3 linked regions of the Saccharomyces cerevisiae S288C genome follow. Changing the gene in region 3 together with the main gene of any one other region gives a genetic interaction. Each region holds a gene or a part of one and is shown on either strand. Other genes may lie near its edges.

Region 1 (3,453 bases), on a different chromosome or scaffold from region 3:
TCAATGAGCTAATTGATATTGGTATTTACCATGTGGAAGAGAAGGCGGCTCTCTTAGGGTTTCCCTCTCAAGGTTATACTTCAGCCTATTATCTGGGTTTACCTGTGACACCTGAAGATATGGCTCTTTTGAAAGAGCAGTTGTTTGCTGAACTTGCCATCTTGCCTGAAAACACAAGAATCAACAAAGTTGGTGAAAACAGTTTCCAAATCTGGGTTGCCTCTGAGAATGTGAAAAACCAGATAACAGAAACCTACCCCAGTGGACAGATCACATTATCCAATGCTGTAACCAAAGTAGAATTCATTTTTGGTGATCATTCACGTGAAATGCGTTTAGTAGCATCGTATTTAAAGGAAGCTCAAAAATTCGCGGCTAATGATACTCAAAAAGCAATGCTTCAGGAATACATCAACCACTTTGTCACTGGCTCTTCTCAAGCACATAAAGAAGCACAAAAACTTTGGGTCAAAGATATATCTCCCGTCATTGAAACAAATATCGGTTTTATCGAAACATATAGAGAACCCTCGGGCATAATTGGAGAATTTGAATCGTTGGTTGCAATTCAAAACAAAGAACGTACTGCTAAATTTTCCAGCTTGGTTAACAACGCAGAAGAATTCATTTCCTTACTACCATGGTCTAAAGATTACGAAAAACCGATTTTCAATCCACCAGATTTCACCTCTCTAGAAGTATTAACGTTTACTGGATCGGGTATACCAGCGGGCATCAATATTCCAAACTATGATGATGTTCGGCTTAAAATTGGGTTCAAGAATGTTTCTTTGGGGAATATCTTAAGCGCGGCTGCCAAAAGCTCATCCAAGCATCCGCCAAGTTTTATATCGCAAGAAGATCGCCCAATTTTTGAAAAATATCAAAGTGATTCTTTTGAAGTCCAAGTAGGCATCCATGAATTATTAGGACATGGTTCAGGAAAGTTGTTGACAGAATTTACAGACGGCTTTAATTTTGATAAGGAAAACCCTCCTTTAGGTTTGGATGGGAAACCGGTGAGCACATACTACAAAGTTGGTGAAACTTGGGGTTCCAAATTTGGACAGTTAGCTGGCCCATTTGAAGAATGTCGTGCGGAAGTAATTGCCATGTTTTTGCTTACTAATAAGAAGATTCTTGATATTTTTGGTTTCCATGATGTCGAATCTCAAGATAAAGTGATCTACGCTGGATATCTACAAATGGCCCGTGCGGGTCTCCTAGCTTTAGAATACTGGAATCCAAAAACTGGTAAGTGGGGACAACCACACATGCAAGCAAGATTTTCTATCATGAAAACATTTATGAAGCACTCTACAGATAAGAATTTCTTAAAGTTGGAGATGAACAGCACGAATGATGATTTTGCCATCAAGTTGGATAAATCTCTCATTAAAACAGCGGGACATGAATGTGTGAAAGACTATTTAAAGCATTTGCATGTTTACAAATGTTCAGGCGATGTGGAACAGGGAAGTAAGTACTTTATTGATAGATCAACGGTGACACCGGATTTGGCGTCTTTAAGAGACATCGTCTTATCTAAGAGATTGCCAAGGAGACAATTCATACAATCGAATTCTTATATTGACGACAATAACAAGGTAACCCTGAAAGAATATGATGAAACCCCACAGGGTATGCTCCAATCTTTCCTTGATAGAGAATTATGATGTCCTTAAGAGCACACGTTTTAATTAGCAACCTTTGCTGTTGCTTTTGTTCAAGCTATTAGATTATGTAAACAGATATATATTATGTAAGTGTGACAGGATACGACAGCACTAACTGTCAGCGAATTTTGATTTGTTACTTTTGCTAGTTTTGTGTGACTTTCCTTTGTTTTTTAACTTTTTTTTTCAGATTTGTATTATGAGATGATAACAATGCGAGATTTCATTGACAAGTTCGATAAAACAATAGAAGCTTCCATTTTATACATATGTGATAAAACAACCTGCAATCGAGGATTTACAATAAAAGTCTCTTTGAGAGGATTGAGAAATAGTGCAAAAAGATCTACTAATAACGAATAGTTATGACTGTTACTGACACTTTTAAACTGTTTATTTTAAGGCATGGTCAAAGTGAATTAAACTCAGAAAACATATTCTGCGGATGGATTGATGCTCAATTAACGGAAAAAGGGAAGTCTCAGGCCCGCCACTCTGCAAAATTGATCAAGCAGTTTTGCGATTCTAACAATATCTCTTTGCCTCAGATTGGCTATACTTCAAGGTTGATTCGAACTCAGCAGACCATGGACGTTATTCTCGAAGAGTTGGGACTAAAACACACCAATTATGTAATTACTACGAATACAAACATTAAGGAGGAGCTGCAGGACACAAGATTTGAAGGAAGTATGCCTGTGTTGCAAACCTGGAGGTTAAATGAGCGTCATTACGGCGCATGGCAAGGACAAAGAAAGCCAGATATCTTGAAAGAATACGGTAAGGAAAAATACATGTATATCAGAAGAGATTACAACGGAAAACCCCCTAAAGTCAACCTAAACCTGGAAATGGTCCAAGAGGAAAATGATCAGGGGTCCTCCACAGGCTATGATTTTAAGGAGCCCAATAGACACTTAAAATACGGCCCCGAAGAGAAGGCTAATGAGCGTCTGCCAGAAAGTGAGTCTCTTTGTGAAGTGGTCGTCAGATTGAAACCATTTTTAAATAATGTTGTTCTGTCTACCGCCAACAAAATCAGTCAAGAATCGTGTGTTATAGTTGGGCATGGCAGCTCTGTAAGATCTCTGCTGAAAGTATTGGAAGGTATCTCAGATGAAGACATCAAAGATGTCGATATTCCCAACGGCATTCCGCTAGTTATAGAGTTGGATAGAGACAATTACTCTTTTGTGAGGAAATTTTACTTGGATCCAGAATCAGCTAAAGTTAATGCTCAAATGGTTCGTGATGAGGGTTTCGAAAAGAATCCATGAATAGTTTTTAAAAATAAAAAATTAGCGCCATTTTTTTCATGGTTTCCTTTTATATTTCCTTCTTTCTTTATTGATAGAATAATGAGTAACGAAAAGCAGCTAAATAAACGTGTTTAAATTTCTATAAGAAGTTTTTATAGATTGTATAACAAAGAAACTTTTTTCTTATTATTATTTTTTTGTTTTTATAATTCATTATATGTAGGTATATCTTTATCTATTGTGCATAAGCCATCTTATCTACTCGTATTCTAGCGCAGCGGTCCAAAAATTTGTTTCTAATTCACAAACTTCAGCGTAGATTGTTACTAAAGTGTCAAGTTGCTCTGGAGGGTATGTTTCTAAGATGTGGTTCAAAAGTTTTTCACCTTCATCCATGGCTTCACGATACCATGAAGATGCGTAAGTTTCACACCATTCGTGGTAAACGGACCCTTCAGGTGCGGTGACTTTACCCTTCATTTTAGTTAAAGCTTCACCATAACCCATCAAACAAGGAG
Region 2 (3,723 bases), on a different chromosome or scaffold from region 3:
CACCTTTGGAACTCACACCTAGTTTTAACAAGGAAACTCCATCAGAGTTCGATAATGATGCTGCCACTAATAGCGTATTGTCATTGAGAAACCTGATATTAGAAAGAACAAGATTTTTATCAAAATCCGTTTTCCTTGCTACAAAATTTCCGTCCCTAACAGACGCTACTTCCAAAGAATTAGAAGTGATATATGACAAAAGAATACCGTTAGGGGCGAAGTGCAAATCATTAACTTCCCTACCCGTTTCAATTTCGTAATTTTCCGTCAAATTACGCGGGTCAATGATTCTTATCACAGTGGGCACTTCAGAGGACGCAATTGCAGCTACTGTGGCCCTTTGATTAATGTAAACAAACTTAGTGAAAACGGATGGGTCTGTAGTTCTGTTGAAATCAATACTGGCCACGAATTTTAGATGTTCTTGTTCAAACACAAACTTCCTCAAGTGGTGGTTAACGTTCTCCATGGAGGAATCATTAAACAGTTCATTGCAACCAACTAGAATCAGGTTATTATTACAATCCAATGAAGTGGGCGCATCGTCAATCGAATCTAATGTGATCTCACGAAACCTTCTAATGTGTTTCTTTTTCTGGAAGTTCACCTTTAAAGCTGTAATTTTGTTTGGAAACGAGGAATTGAACTGGCCTCCACCACCAGCCACCAGTAGAGTGCCTTCATTTATAAATTTAGCACCATATATCGGATATCCGACGTCATAGTTTGCAGAGTTGCCACTCATTATTATGCTAGTTTTTCTAAGTTTAAAAGGAGAGAAAAAAAAGGAAGAGAGGACGTATCGTAGGGAATTGTGATGCTTGTTGACAAACAGCCTCCGTCGATCGAAGCAGCTATAAGCGTAGGTTACTTGAAGCGTTCACAGTTCTCATTTACACTGTACAATTCTCGAGATATAAATGAAAATTACTACAACCAAGAAAAAAGGACAGGAGGGCTAAAAGGATAATAAAATAGGGCAGTTACAAATGTGGTCAAAAATACTAGGGCTCAAAATTGCTAAGTAAGGGCTTGACAGATGTAACATAATACGAAATAAACTGGATATCGTTTAATAATTATCAAGGTGATTTAAATCGTAAATACATAGGCTGGGCCATATACACTAACATGTGTCGTGACCAATGTGCAGCAGATAGACTTGCTCATTAAATATATTCCAGGTAGGATTCTCTAAGGGTTTTTTTTTTTCTCTATAGCTGTCACTTTTTTTTTTTTCTCTTATCAATCACAGATATAATAAGCATAACATCGGAAAGAAAATAATGATAGGGCAAAAGGGAAAGCATTTCCAGTTGAATACAGTATCTCTACTATATTGTTGTTCGCTGAAGACAGCCGTTTCCGGAAAAAAGTGATTGTGTGATCGCAGTTACCCGCACCTTTGTTCAACAGTACATAATAAGAATCTGTAGATATAGATGAACTTTCTCTATTACATAAGACTAGCCTAAAAGCCTTGTTTCTATCATTTAAAGGCTTTTGAGACACTCAAATCAGTGTCAACCTTTTGGATAAGTCAAAGAAAGTACGCCGCTGCTCAGAAAATTGTTATCGTGATTGAGAACTGATCTAGGCATTACAATTAAAGGAAACAAGGGAAATATTCTATTGAATGTTGCATAAAAGCCCTTCAAGAAAGAGATTTGCTTCTCCTTTGCATCTAGGATGCATTCTAACGCTTACAGTGCTCTGCCTTATTGCTTACTACTTTGCTTTACCGGATTATTTATCGGTAGGGAAGAGCTCATCCAGGGGTGCCATGGATCAAAAATCTGATGGAACCTTTAGACTTAAGTCTATCTACAGGCATGGCGTCGGAGCAAACCATCGGCTACACCAGAGGCTGGAGGTCACTCCAGAAGTTATTTCTGCCGCTGGAATGCTGTATCAAGAAACCACAACTCAAGGACAGGATTTCGAAGACCAAGAACCCCTATGGACTACTAATGCCGAATATGCCACCACTAACCCATTCGATTTTGAGTTTGAGCTACGAAGGATGCCGCTATTGATGAAGCGGATGAAGGAAAGAGATCCTGAATTCATAGAGTCGTACATTTACGGAGAAACATACATGACGGAGGAGGAAGAACACGCCATGTGGATAGATGATGACATTGTGGCACCCAATATCACAGATAGAGGTACAGTAGTGTCGTTAGCATTAATGTCGTCTAATGCTTACGTGAGAATACCGCAAACGGGAGACTGGCGTAACGTCACGGAGCCGTGGAATGAAACAGAGCCGGAAGATTTTGGTTGGGATGGTGATGGTATACGTGGTCACGTCTTTTACAATGAAGTGGAGAATATCGTGGTACTCTCGATAAAGGGAACCAGCGCTCAGGGTTTGCCAGGGTCTGGCGAAGATGAGACAACTGGAAACGACAAGATCAACGATAATTTGTTATTTTCGTGTTGTTGTGCAAGAGTGAGCTACCTGTGGACTACCGTGTGCGATTGCTATGTGAAGTCGTATATATGCGATGAGTCTTGCCTGGAAAAGGAACTGAGACGTAAGGATAGATTTTACTCTGCAGTCGTTGACATATACAAAGGCGTCCTCAAAGAATACCCCGATGCGGCCATATGGGTCACAGGCCACTCACTGGGAGGCGCATTGGCCAGTTTACTGGGCCGCACTTTTGGATTGCCTGCGGTCGCATTCGAGTCCCCTGGAGAGCTACTACCTTCAAAAAGACTTCACTTACCATTCCCACCGGGACTTCCCTCATACATGGAGGGTATCTGGCACTTCGGTCACAACGCAGACCCAATCTTCATGGGTACATGCAACGGAGCTAGTTCAAGTTGCTCACTGGTGGGCTACGCTATGGAAACCGCGTGCCACACTGGTAGAGTCTGTGTCTACGATGTGGTCAACGACAAGGGCTGGAGTGTAAACATGTTCAACCACAGAATCCACAAAGTCATTGACGAAGTTCTCCTTGGATACGAGCAGGCTGCCAAGTGCGTTGAACCAGAGCCCTGCGTAGATTGCTACAACTGGAAGTTTATTCCAAGCAGAGACTGGGAATCCTCATCGAGGCTCATTACCAAGACTAAAAGCCACGCTGCACCAACCACGACGACTCGCACCACTGCTACTACTACCTCTTCATCTACCTGTGTAGGCCGCAATTGGCTTGGCTTCTGCACCAAATACGAGTTGTAAGACCCATACATCTATTATGACCCTAGTGTTGTTTTAGGGCCTATGCGCCCTTTTTTTCTTCCATTGTCTGATAAATAATGTATCATTTTGACAACTTAAAGGTTCAGCTAAACGACACGAGAAGATATATTAATACTGCTTTAAAGTGAAAGGCGTCAGTCAGGTGCAATTAATAGGTCACATATTCTTTGCTTCAATTGCTCTCTAGCAAACTCACACACTCGTAGATTGGAAGACCGAAGAAAATAGATAGACTTTCGAATAAGTTCAGCAACAACATGTGGTTGAAATCCTTGCTGCTCTGCCTGTACTCCTTAGTACTCTGCCAAGTCCACGCTGCACCTTCATCAGGGAAGCAGATTACCTCCAAGGATGTTGATCTTCAGAAAAAATATGAGCCCAGTCCCCCCGCCACACATCGTGGAATAATCACTATCGAATACTTTGATCCCGTTTCGAAGTCGATGAAAGAGGCGGATCTGACTTTTGAGTTGTACGGTACTGTCGTGCCCAAAACTGTGAAC
Region 3 (4,997 bases):
GTATGGTGTTTCCACGTTTTCTGAAGAAGTTATTGAAAGACGTTTCTCATTTAACCCATCAAGACTTAAATCTTCAACTTTTGTTGACGATGATGACACACCAGGTGATTTCTGTTCCTTTGAAGATTCCAGGCCAGAAAAGTTATCATCAGGATATATTTTAGAGTCTAGTGCGTTCATGGTTAAAGATGGTGTATTACTTTCCCTCGTAACATTAATTTCCGGAATTTTAGGTTCTGTATTCTTTTCCTCTTGTTTTGCTTCTGGAAAATCATCTTGAAGTGGTTCATTTTCAAGATTCATCTGTAGTTTAGGATCTGGTTCAAAATTTAGGCTTTCAATATCATTCTCATCCTCCTGCTGTCCTTCACTTTCATATTCGATTGAACTTTCCTCTTTTTGCTGTTCTTTTCCGAGTTTTTGGTCGAGCACACCTCTGTTATCGGTTTGGTTCATAGAATTTACAACGCTTGCAGTGTCATTTTGAGTCAGCATCATGAAACTTCTTTCAATAGGGCTCAAATCTTGTTCCCTTTCAGTATTACCAGCATCTTCTTGTTCGAAGTTGAAGGGGAAGTTATCTGCGGCTTGGAATTCCTTGTTAGCAGGTGATTTACATGTATGCCTAGAGGCAGCATATTGTTCCGCCTGACGGTCTAAGTCGCGTTCAAAACGGAAGGGATCCTCTTGCGAAGCACGCTCGCTGGGCCTGGAAATAGAACGAGATATGTCACTGGGTCTCGAAGACGTAAAATTGCTATTCTTTGGAGGAGTTACACTCCGCCTCTCGCTATTCTCCAATACGGGAGGCGGATAAATGTCAGACTCGCCCTTTACAGATGAATAAGCACTCTTTGAAGACGCCGTATACGCACTCTTCATCGTGACCGGAACAGATGGGGCGGCAGATACATTTCTTTGACGGGTTATTGGCGGCGACTTCACGGAAGCTTGTAAACTTCCAGTGGAAGCATTCCTCTGACTACTGAACGGATTACGCGGCTTAGTGTCAAACCCTGCTCTTTCTAGAGCAGTTTTGTAGCGGACCTTCGGATTTATTTTAGGGAAGGGGGACCCGTAGATTGAGTTATACATTGACTTGAGCGTTTCTTTTGCTAAATTTATTCTTGTTTTTCCCCTTACGTTATTCACTATAAGCTTTGAAGAAGCTTGAAAAAAATTCGGCTATAATATCCTATTCTAGCTGTATAAATTAAATATTCAACACAGCAGAAATATATTTTAAGGCTACCTCTTAAATTTGCAACACTCCAGCTTTTCTATTATTATTATTTACTTATTTTTTCATGTTTCCTATTATTCATGGAATTGAAAAAGGACGCGAATTGAAAATTTCGAAAGAAATAGGGCTAGGCGCTTCAAAAAGTCATTAGGTTTACTTACCAATATTAGTAGGTTAAATATTAGAAAAAAGGAAAAAAGATCTTAAGGGGTTTAAAAAAAGTAGGGTAAACTAGGGCTGACATATTACCCCTCTTATACGATAATTGCGACTATGAAACGCTAAACCACAATTATAAAGTATGGTTGATTCAAATTGTCATTATGTCATTATTGTACTCGTAAAAGAGGCCTGTATTCAAGTATTTGATCAAAAAAATTAGCGCTGTAATAATTATTGAAGGGAGTACAGGTATATGTAATAAAAGTCTGAATGAGCAGCAAAATATCAGATCTTACATCTACACAAAATAAGCCCCTCCTTGTTACGCAACAACTAATCGAAAAATATTACGAACAGATCCTGGGCACTTCCCAGAACATAATTCCTATTTTAAATCCGAAGAACAAGTTTATTAGGCCCAGTAAGGATAATTCAGATGTTGAAAGGGTGGAGGAGGATGCTGGTAAAAGACTGCAAACTGGCAAGAACAAAACTACGAACAAAGTAAATTTCAACCTGGATACTGGAAACGAGGATAAACTTGACGATGACCAAGAGACAGTAACAGAAAATGAAAATAATGATATCGAGATGGTTGAGACAGACGAAGGCGAAGATGAAAGGCAAGGGTCATCTTTAGCCAGTAAATGCAAATCATTTCTTTACAACGTTTTTGTGGGAAACTATGAAAGAGACATTCTTATTGACAAAGTCTGTTCACAAAAGCAACATGCGATGTCATTTGAAGAATGGTGTTCTGCGGGCGCCAGATTGGATGACCTCACTGGGAAAACAGAATGGAAGCAGAAATTGGAAAGTCCCTTGTATGATTACAAGCTAATAAAAGATTTAACATCTAGAATGCGTGAGGAGCGCTTGAATAGGAATTACGCTCAATTGTTGTACATCATTAGGACGAATTGGGTACGAAACCTGGGAAATATGGGGAATGTAAACCTATATAGGCACTCCCATGTAGGCACCAAATATTTAATTGACGAGTATATGATGGAGTCTAGGTTAGCGCTAGAATCTTTAATGGAGTCTGATCTTGATGATAGTTACCTTTTGGGTATACTGCAACAAACGAGAAGAAATATTGGTCGTACCGCTTTAGTTCTCAGTGGGGGTGGAACTTTTGGTCTTTTCCACATCGGTGTCCTTGGTACTCTATTTGAATTGGATTTATTACCCAGAGTGATTAGTGGTAGCAGTGCTGGTGCAATTGTAGCAAGCATATTATCTGTCCATCACAAAGAAGAAATTCCGGTTTTACTAAATCATATTTTGGATAAAGAATTCAACATTTTCAAAGACGATAAACAGAAAAGTGAAAGCGAGAATTTGTTAATAAAAATATCTAGGTTCTTCAAAAACGGTACGTGGTTTGATAACAAGCATCTGGTAAATACAATGATAGAATTTTTGGGAGATTTGACATTTAGGGAAGCTTACAATAGAACGGGTAAAATTTTGAATATAACCGTTTCGCCGGCATCTTTATTTGAACAACCGCGCTTGCTGAATAATTTGACTGCACCAAACGTCCTGATTTGGTCCGCCGTATGTGCATCATGTTCACTACCGGGAATTTTCCCCTCGAGCCCACTTTACGAAAAAGATCCAAAAACGGGAGAAAGGAAACCATGGACTGGTAGTAGTTCGGTCAAATTTGTCGATGGTTCTGTGGACAATGACTTGCCCATTTCTCGTCTTTCTGAAATGTTTAATGTAGACCATATTATCGCATGCCAGGTGAATATTCACGTATTTCCCTTTTTGAAACTATCACTATCCTGTGTTGGCGGGGAAATTGAGGACGAATTTAGTGCAAGATTAAAGCAAAACTTATCAAGTATATACAATTTTATGGCCAATGAAGCTATTCATATTCTAGAAATTGGAAGTGAGATGGGAATTGCCAAAAACGCGCTTACAAAACTGAGATCGGTATTATCTCAACAATATTCTGGTGACATCACTATTTTGCCCGACATGTGTATGCTTTTTAGAATAAAGGAGCTGTTGTCAAACCCAACAAAAGAATTTTTATTAAGGGAAATCACCAATGGTGCAAAAGCTACGTGGCCCAAGGTTTCCATTATTCAAAATCACTGTGGCCAGGAATTTGCTCTGGATAAGGCGATTTCTTATATCAAAGGTAGGATGATTGTCACCTCCTCTTTAAAAACCCCCTTCCAATTTGCTGATTCAGTCATTGGATTAATTAAAGCTCCAGAGCAAACGTCAGATGAGTCCAAAAACCCAGAAAATTCAACATTGCTAACTAGGACTCCAACCAAGGGTGACAATCATATTTCCAATGTTTTAGATGACAACTTATTAGAATCAGAATCGACAAACTCTTTGCTATTGTTACGTGAGAATGCAAGCACATATGGGCGGTCACCTTCCGGGTTTAGACCGCGGTATTCCATTACGTCCGCTTCTCTCAATCCGCGTCACCAAAGAAGGAAATCAGATACTATTTCAACTTCAAGGCGACCAGCCAAATCCTTTTCATTTTCAGTTGCTTCTCCCACATCAAGGATGTTGAGGCAATCCAGCAAAATCAATGGACACCCACCGCCAATTCTGCAGAAAAAAACAAGTATGGGCCGGCTAATGTTTCCTATGGATGCCAAGACCTATGACCCGGAAAGCCATGAACTTATCCCACATTCTGCCAGCATTGAAACACCTGCCATGGTAGACAAGAAATTGCATTTTGGCCGAAAGAGTAGATACTTGAGGCATATGAACAAAAAATGGGTCAGCAGTAGCAACATATTATACACAGATTCGGATAAAGAAGACCATCCTACATTGAGACTGATAAGTAACTTCGATTCAGACGCAATGATTCATAGTGATTTAGCGGGCAATTTCAGGCGTCATAGCATTGATGGAAGACCCCCTTCTCAAGCTACAAAGAGCTCACCGTTTCGATCGAGGCCTTCTTCTTCAACGCAGCACAAAAGCACCACCAGTTTTACTCAATAAGAAAACACGGGCTTGCTTATATATCCTCTAGATATTCTTTTTCATCTATGTATTTATTCGAATGGCCTTTCTCATTCATATCATTTTCAAAGCGGAAATCGAAATCATTGTTTTCTCTCGAGCTGCACTAAGAAAAAAAGCCACTTTACTAAAACAATACCTTCAACATATTTGAAAATATTATTATGGTGGAAGAAAGATATTGGTTACACAAATGAGTCAGTCTTACGAAGCAGGAAATGCCAATATGGGCCAAGGGGAGGATGATGAATTTGATGGCTATTTCGAAGACTTTGACAACGATATCATGCCAAATAGTAATAATGGACAAAGGGTTGGTACTAATGCTGGATTGTCATTCAATGACGAAGTAAATGTTAATGATGATGATTTTTTAGACATTTATAATATGTCCCCTAGAGAGAGATTGATGCATAATATCAGGAAGAATGTTCAAAAATTACAGTTTTATTTTTATTCACTACGCTTATGGCAACAGATTATCATTGTCCTCCTCGGCATAATGCTAATGATAATGGGTATATTGTTGCTCGTCTTCCATAATGCGATTTTACATAAAGTTGTTGTT

The links.
Region 1: mutations in TGL4 (region 3) and GPM3 together harm fitness more than expected from each alone (negative genetic interaction), as found in Saccharomyces cerevisiae (2 studies listed by BioGRID).
Region 2: of TGL4 (region 3) and ATG15, changing one suppresses a phenotype caused by changing the other (phenotypic suppression), as found in Saccharomyces cerevisiae (one study listed by BioGRID).

Annotation. Positions count from the first base shown.
Region 1 is NC_001147.6:221,227-224,679, forward strand, and holds GPM3 (phosphoglycerate mutase family protein GPM3), read left to right. Parts: upstream 1-2,041; coding exon 2,042-2,953; downstream 2,954-3,453. Other genes in the region: YOL057W (dipeptidyl-peptidase III), read left to right, coding at 1-1,676; THI20 (trifunctional hydroxymethylpyrimidine kinase/phosphomethylpyrimidine kinase/thiaminase), read right to left, coding at 3,194-3,453. UniProt on the Saccharomyces cerevisiae protein: Could be non-functional.
Region 2 is NC_001135.5:235,578-239,300, forward strand, and holds ATG15 (triglyceride lipase ATG15), read left to right. Parts: upstream 1-1,636; coding exon 1,637-3,199; downstream 3,200-3,723. Other genes in the region: GTPase-activating protein SED4, read right to left, coding at 1-745; peptidylprolyl isomerase family protein CPR4, read left to right, coding at 3,478-3,723. UniProt on the Saccharomyces cerevisiae protein: Lipase which is essential for lysis of subvacuolar cytoplasm to vacuole targeted bodies and intravacuolar autophagic bodies. Involved in the lysis of intravacuolar multivesicular body (MVB) vesicles.
Region 3 is NC_001143.9:605,044-610,040, reverse strand, and holds TGL4 (triacylglycerol lipase), read left to right. Parts: upstream 1-1,675; coding exon 1,676-4,408; downstream 4,409-4,997. Other genes in the region: PXL1 (Pxl1p), read right to left, coding at 1-1,095; TVP38 (Tvp38p), read left to right, coding at 4,623-4,997. UniProt on the Saccharomyces cerevisiae protein: Lipid particle-localized triacylglycerol (TAG) lipase. The lipid droplet/particle is a lipid storage compartment which serves as a depot of energy and building blocks for membrane lipid biosynthesis.